2 linked regions of the Arabidopsis thaliana genome follow. The protein of the gene in region 2 interacts with the protein of the main gene of each other region in a biochemical or structural test. Each region holds a gene or a part of one and is shown on either strand. Other genes may lie near its edges.

Region 1 (3,754 bases), on a different chromosome or scaffold from region 2:
CTTGTTGAGTCATAGCCAAGAAGGCACAAGAGACTAGACAATAGACGGTTCATTCATGAATCAGTGAAACGATACAGAAGAATAAATATTTCATTTCTCACACATTCTATAGGGTTATTCTGGATCTTAGTTTTTTTCCAGTACATGCAACAGAACGACTCAACTTCACAAGCAATATTAATCACAAGAGAAAAGAATGCATCTTATCATGCTGGGAGTGCGAAACTAGGTTGCTTCCACTGTGGCGGATCCATCACCAGGCAGGGATCTGATTTCTCAAAGTCAGCAACCTGTAAACAAATCAATCATATGAATGAAACAATCTTCCATACAGAGAAAAAAAAAACGCACACGAGTAGCAGGCATGAAGAAGACATATAAAAGTACCTTGTTCCCACACTGAGGGCAATGGTGCTGTTTGTTCCAGAGGCAATCCATTGAAGGGCAGAGAAAGCAGAAACCAAGCATAAACGGCATCATGCAAGCAACAACAGCAGCTACACCAGGTTTCGATCTGTTTCACATCCATAAAAAAAAATATATATCACAAACAAAGAAGATGTAAACCACAGGTTGTTACAATGAATATTTTCACATAAAACCACAGGTTATCACAAAGGAATAGTACAGTCTCATGCTCTTAAAATTGTTTCGGTAGAATGAAAAATGTAAGCCCTAAACATGAATGCCGAGAAACGAGAAAACGTAAAGCAGACTAACTTCATTAAAACCAATCACCGCCAGTATCAAAATAGAAGAGATACTGAAGTGAAGCACCATCTAAATAACTCCACTACTAAGGAAAAGATGTTGTTACCAACAGAAAGAGTCACAAAGCAGGTAGCTTTATCTTTGCAGCTTAAGTATATTTGTTGAGAAAGCTTAACAATAACAGGCTGGATCAATGGAGTTCTTTCAGCCTTCCTTTTAAGTGATTTAAGTTTTATAACAGCTTGTTCATATAGAAGTATCAAACATTCTATAGCTAATGAAACACACCAATCAAAATGAACAAGTTTGAGAATCCTGAAACCAAAAATCCAATACTCAAAACCTTAAACCACTGGCAATGATTAGAGGCGCTAATTTTTCTACTATATTGCTTCCAAGTATGAGATCAATTGACATGGATCCGAAATTGCCGATTGCACATTTCCTCGATGATTTCTTGTAATCGAGTCATAGAACGATTCGCGAACAATAAACTCTAAAATCGTATAAGTGAATATACCTGAGATTGGTGAGACCAGTGTTGCCGCAATAAAGGCAATTGAAAGGAGCAGGAGTGTCTCGATAAATCGTTTGCTGAATCGGAGCACCCAACGGATCACCATAGATAGCATTCGGCGGCACAATTCCGGCCTGATACGGATTCTGCCCCGCGTAATATGGAACTCCGATCACCGTTGTTCCCTCTTTCGCCATCTCCTTTGTTTTTAGTTTTTACGGTCAAACTCAACGATTTCGAAGATAAAGCAAATCAATCACAACGAGAGAAACAGACGAAGCTGATTCGAAGAGTATTTATTTAATTCCCTTTCCGCTATGAAAATTCCCAGGGAAATTACGCGGAAGACGATGGAGATTCAAGGAAAGTTCCAAATCTCTGACGATTACGCGTGTGTACTTAATTTGAGATTAATCGCAATTTTGATTTCAACGATTCTTTGATTCTTTCTTTCCTCTAGAAGATAGAGACTCCACACTTAATGGGCCTTTTGTTTATAAACTTAAATACTTAATACAGATATTGGGCTCAAAAGGCCTAATAATTGTCTTAGACCTGTTCGTTCTAGCTTTCGTCTAAATTGCAAGGTTCGTTTTTAAAAGTGAAGTTTGAGTTTGACGGTAACAAACAAGCGATGGACTACAAAAGAAGAACGTGTTGGACTACAAAAGAAGAACGTGTTGTTTAGGCCTCTTTGCCGACATAGCAGAGAGTCCATGTCACAATCACCTTATTTATTATCTTCTTCATTACTGTAATTACAAGAAGATTCAGCAAAATGTAATCATTGAATGACACAGAGACTTTTCTAAAATCTTGTATTTATCAAGAACATTCTAAAACCATTATGTGTTCTTATCTTATTGGTTAAGGATTAAACTAAATGTCAAAATTCAGCCTAAAATAGTCCAACTCTTAATCCCAAAGGTAACATCATCAAAACCGCGTTTTATATATGTATAATCCAATCTTATAAATTAAAAAACCAAGTTCAACACAATCCATCACATCCATTTCAATAGAAGACGAAGAACGTTTCAGAATCATCAACCAAATTCAGAAAATTTCAGCCATGACAGGATCACAAGAAGACCAACCTAAGATCATCATTGATCAAGAGCAACCCAAAACTCTAGAAACAGAGCACCAACCAGAACCTTCTTCATCGTCTCCGGATCAGAAGAAATGGGGTACTCACGTGATGGGAGCTCCGGCAGCTCCAGTTGCTCATCCCGATAACCAACAGGCGGCGGCGTGGGTCGCTGGAGATAACCAGCAGACGCAGTACCAACCGTACGTCATCTACTCTCCTGTCGAACATCCAACAACTAACAACCCTCTCGAGCCAGTCATCGGAATGTTCCATACCTGGAGTCGCAAGGCAGAAACCGTCGCACGTAACCTCTGGCACAATCGTAAGTCTCCTTCCACTTAATTGGAGCATTTGGACAAAGCAAGTTTGAGTCTTTGACGAATTTTGTTGGTTTTTTTTTTTTTTTTTGCAGTGAAGACAGGACCGTCTATGTCGGAAACGGCGTGGGGGAAGGTTAATTTGACGGCCAAAGCGATAACAAAAGGAGGATTCGAGTCGCTTTTCAGACAGATTTTCGGAACAGAGCCAAACGAGACGCTGAAGAAAACTTTCGCTTGTTATCTCTCGACGACGACAGGTCCTGTTGCTGGAACTGTCTATCTTTCGAATGCTCGTGTCGCTTTTTGTAGCGATCGTCCTCTGTACTTCACAGCACCTTCTGGTCAAGAATCTTGGAGCTACTACAGGGTAAGTAAAGTCTTGCTTTTGTAAAAGAATGAATTTGGAGATTGTTTTTAACGTAGGTCTAATGTTGTTTGGTGTTTGGTTTTGTGGCAGGTGGTTGTACCTTTGGCGAATGTAGCGACGGTGAATCCGGTGGTGGTGAAAGAGACTCCACCTGAGAAGTATATTCAGTTGACGACGGTGGATGGTCATGACTTCTGGTTCATGGGTTTTGTGAATTATGAGAAGGCTACGCATCATCTGCTGACCAGTGTCTCCGATTTTCAAACCGCACACGGCTCTGTGTCTGGTTAAAACTGTTAGAGTAAAATTCTTTTAGAGGTAATGGAGAAAGTGTTTAAGTGTTTTGAGAGAGTTTTTTAGGAAATAGAACTTTTATTACTTTGCTTTAAACTTTGAATACAACTTCACAACATTGCAACATTTGAGAGGGGGAGGAGGTATTTATAGCCTCCAAACTACAAAATATCTAAAATATTTTAATCCTAAGTCTAGAGAGTTCTTACATAAGATCTAGATTACATTATTCAAATTATCTAGATTATTCTATTAGAGTATCTAGATTATTCTATTAGAGTATCTAGATTTTTATGTTTAAGGAGGTGGAAGATGATTCTAGAAAATTTCTAGAATCTTTTAAGGAGGTGGAAATGATGATATTTCTAGAGAAAACTCTAGAACTTGGATTTGGCCATAATTAATTATTGGATAATTGATCCAATAATTAAACTTGATTCAAAATCAAGTTT
Region 2 (3,754 bases):
AAAAATAAAAGCGAAACAAAATCAAGTTAACCGTCTCTTGAAAACGTAATATATATAATCGAGAAAGATTCAAAATTGATTTAAAATAATAATCAAACCAATAACAGTTATGCATGCAAGAAGTTAGAGGAAACGCAGCAGGTATATAGATGAGGCTACGAAAGAAAAGAATGATCAAATCTAGTTACGCTTAAATTTGGATATATCTAAGGTTTCTTCGTCAATATATGGAGCTTACGAAAACGAAAGAGTGAGCTACGAGGAACTAAATCAATGAAGATAAGAGGAATGAAGGAGAGAAGATCACCAAGGTGTAGAAATTTCTGAAGTCGTCTCCTCCAATCTCCACTATTGGTTTGTTCAGAACTTGAGAAGGCCTTAGATCCAAGCCATTAGTAACCTCTCTATGGCCATAAGTGACCTTAAGAGAGACCAACCTCGTGAAAGGATCAAGAACATCTCCAACAACACTGCCGACCACAAGAGGATCTCTACGACTTAAAGACATATTTATCTTGGATCTCAAGTATCTCAATCAAATGTTTTGCTTCTTACCTTATGAACCCTTACTTGCTATTCTTTATATAACGTTTTGGGAATTGCAATAATTAGCTATTTAGCTTTATTCTCTCCAATGAAATCATTACCAGGGTCTTTTCGTGTATAGTTTCGAGAATCTACAACTCGTTCAACGTACGTATATCACTTATAATTCATGTTTTTTTTTTCTTTCCTTTTTTCTAAATTTATAGTATTCTTATTCCAAAACCCACCAGTATAAAACAGAAATAATCATATTCCAAATTATACATCATCCACTTGTTTCTTGCTAGCCACTAGTATGTAATTTATTCTGACTTATCATTGTAACTTCATGAACTATTTAAAATAATGTCACAAGCATATAATATGCTGCATATTTGCGTACGTCACGCATTTTGCGTCACATGTCACTCATTTAAATAGTTAAGGACACTACATTACACCGATTATGTATGATGTTAATGCATTTTAGAATAACTCCTTCAACCTAAACCATCATATAAAAGTATATATGCTCCAGATAAATTGACGCCATAATTGTTCACATATCTGGTTGGTGTGTACATACGTACTAGACTCTTTTTTTTCTTTTCTTAATGTAGTACTAAACTTAATTAATACCATCAAAAATATCAATTTAACAAAACAAACCAGTAAAACTTTTAAAACAATGGAGTAAATCAAATAAAACAAGTAAATTAACAAATAGACACAAGGTAACAGAAGTATAATAACGACAGAAAAGTGAACAATTGGCCAAAAAATTCGTTTTCAAACGTGATTTCAAAATTGTCTCCAAATCTTAAATGTTGATAAAGTAATTTTTTTAAAATTCATTATACCTTTCAAAAACAAGTGTATTACCTAAAAGCTCAACCGTGTATTCTTACACTCCAAACAAATTTAGTTCCCCAAGTTTGGAAGACAAAAATTTCTAAGAAATTTCTGACAAAACACATGAGAAATAAACCGATAAAGACTTCTAAAAACTATTGCAGACCAGTTTCATTTGCTGACCACAAAAAGTCATGAGAATACAATTAGCTCAGTGATTCTTGATATTTCTGGTACCTAACAAAAAGAAAAGTGTGTGAGGTTAGATGGCTATGATTTTTGCTCTCCAATTTATTGTCCATTTCCCCAATTTGTAATATGAAATGCGCAAATTACTCTTCTTCCGATATGAATAAGCAAACGAAAACATACGTGGGACGTTATGTTCAGAACATTTGATTAAAGTTTATATGCGATTTTCATTTATTTATTATGAATTTTTTGTTTGGCAGCATGTACGATTTTTCATTTAACACACAAATATTATAGAATTTTCATTGGTTCAAAGGGGTAGACAAAAAATAATTTAATATTATTACACCATTTGCAGAAAATTAGAAAATATATTTTTACCCATAATTAATTGATCTATGGACGTATGCTTGGCATAAAAATTCATATTTAATTAGCAGAAGCCAATCGCTGCGTTTGTATATACGCGTTTATGACCGAGAAAAAAACCCTTACGCGTCATGTAAAAAAAAAAGAAGCGTAAATTACGAAAAACAGAGAGATAAATCCGGGCATTGAGATTTTGGAGATAGAGAGAGAGAAAAATCGAAATCTATTGTCTATCTCCTCAATTTGGATTGGATTTTCTGCATATCATCGCTCTAGCTTTCGCGGGTTTTGGATTCGATTCCTTACCCTTCTCCAATCGGTAAGAACAAGCTCCAAAGTTTGTTCCTTTTTTTCAATTTTCGCCAATTCTGTAATCTCATCATTGTCCTTGTTTGTTTGTTTGATTCAACACACAATTCTTGTTTTGATTTGGATGCAGAAGTTTTTGGCTTTGAATTGGATTTGGGTTTCGTTCCAAAATCAGCTCTTTTTGTTAATCAGGTGAGTTTTTAGGTATTTGAATCTCCAATTGCTTCCTTGCAATGACTAAGTATTGTGAAATGTTTAGGGTTTCATCTGTGTGGGTCTTGTTTTGAAGCAATTTGTGTGTGTTTGGATGAAAGTAGCAGATATGCAGGACCAGCTGGTGTGTCATGGTTGTAGGAATTTATTGATGTATCCTAGAGGAGCATCTAATGTGCGTTGTGCGTTATGTAACACTATCAACATGGTTCCTCCTCCTCCTCCACCTCACGGTATCGATTTCTTTGTTGAATTTGAATTGAGGATGAGGTTAATATGCTCTGCAATTGTATTATAACTTGGGTTCTGATTCTGAATACAGACATGGCACACATTATATGTGGTGGTTGTAGAACAATGCTTATGTATACGCGTGGGGCTAGTAGCGTAAGATGCTCTTGCTGTCAAACTACGAACCTTGTGCCAGGTATATTAATAATATCGTGACATCCATATCAATCCTTTTAAAGACCATGTATTATATTGCTTTATAAGGTCTTTTAGTCCTTTAGAATCTTCTTTCACACTTTTGTTTGATAACATTGTTCTGTGGAGATGATGCTTACGTAACGTATTTCCACTTTTCCCAAAGATGTATATGAATCTGAATTCTGAAAATATCTGGGATTTGTAAAGCAGCTGAAAGTACTTAAAACAAAGCTTTTAGATGGTCCCGGTGGACTAGGTAACTACTTGTTAGAGCTAGTAGGGTTTATTATTGTTTTGTTTGATCTACCATTAGATTCTTATCTTTAATTAGCGTCTAAGCTGTTGTCATTTAGCTGTATGATTATCATTTATCCATGACTGCTTAAGAACATTGCTGATTACTTCGTTCATTAGTATTTCTTGGATTTTTCTAGCATTAACATTGCTTGTTTTCTGAATCTGTGCGTGTCTTTTTTGAAATCGACAGCGCACTCCAATCAGGTTGCCCATGCTCCTTCCAGTCAGGTTGCGCAGATCAATTGTGGGCATTGTCGGACGACCCTCATGTATCCTTACGGTGCATCATCCGTCAAATGCGCTGTTTGTCAATTCGTAACTAACGTTAATGTGATTATTCCTATCTATTAAGCCACCTCTGCATGGTTGAGTTAAGTATAGAGATCTTTCTGTTGGAAATTTTCATTTCTGATTCATTTTGCATCCTTAGATGAGCAATGGAAGGGTACCTCTCCCAACTAACCGGCCAAATGGAACAGCTTGTCCCCCCTCTACATCAACTGTGAGTTATCAAATTATGAATTTGTAATAGTTCTGTATATTCTTATGGAACTGGTACTTACTCTGT

Evidence for each region.
Region 1: the proteins of LSD1 (region 2) and GILP form a complex in vitro, tested with the Arabidopsis thaliana proteins (one study listed by BioGRID).

Annotation. Positions count from the first base shown.
Region 1 is NC_003076.8:4,204,781-4,208,534, forward strand, and holds the start of GILP (GSH-induced LITAF domain protein), read right to left. Parts: upstream 1,679-3,754; 5' UTR 1,426-1,678; coding exon 1,232-1,425; intron 515-1,231; coding exon 283-514; coding exon of another isoform or gene 207-282; 3' UTR 1-206. Other genes in the region: AT5G13200 (GRAM domain family protein), read left to right, coding at 2,301-2,643, 2,734-3,008, 3,099-3,299. UniProt on the Arabidopsis thaliana protein: Acts as a membrane anchor, bringing other regulators of programmed cell death (PCD) to the plasma membrane. Negatively regulates hypersensitive cell death.
Region 2 is NC_003075.7:11,002,458-11,006,211, forward strand, and holds the start of LSD1 (LSD1 zinc finger family protein), read left to right. Parts: upstream 1-2,059; 5' UTR 2,060-2,257; intron 2,258-2,377; 5' UTR 2,378-2,439; exon of another isoform or gene 2,440-2,554; coding exon of another isoform or gene 2,555-2,569; coding exon 2,570-2,693; intron 2,694-2,782; coding exon 2,783-2,887; intron 2,888-2,972; coding exon 2,973-3,004; intron 3,005-3,099; coding exon 3,100-3,145; intron 3,146-3,376; coding exon 3,377-3,516; coding exon of another isoform or gene 3,517-3,537; exon of another isoform or gene 3,538-3,616; coding exon 3,617-3,688; intron 3,689-3,754. Other genes in the region: TSF (PEBP (phosphatidylethanolamine-binding protein) family protein), read right to left, coding at 308-508.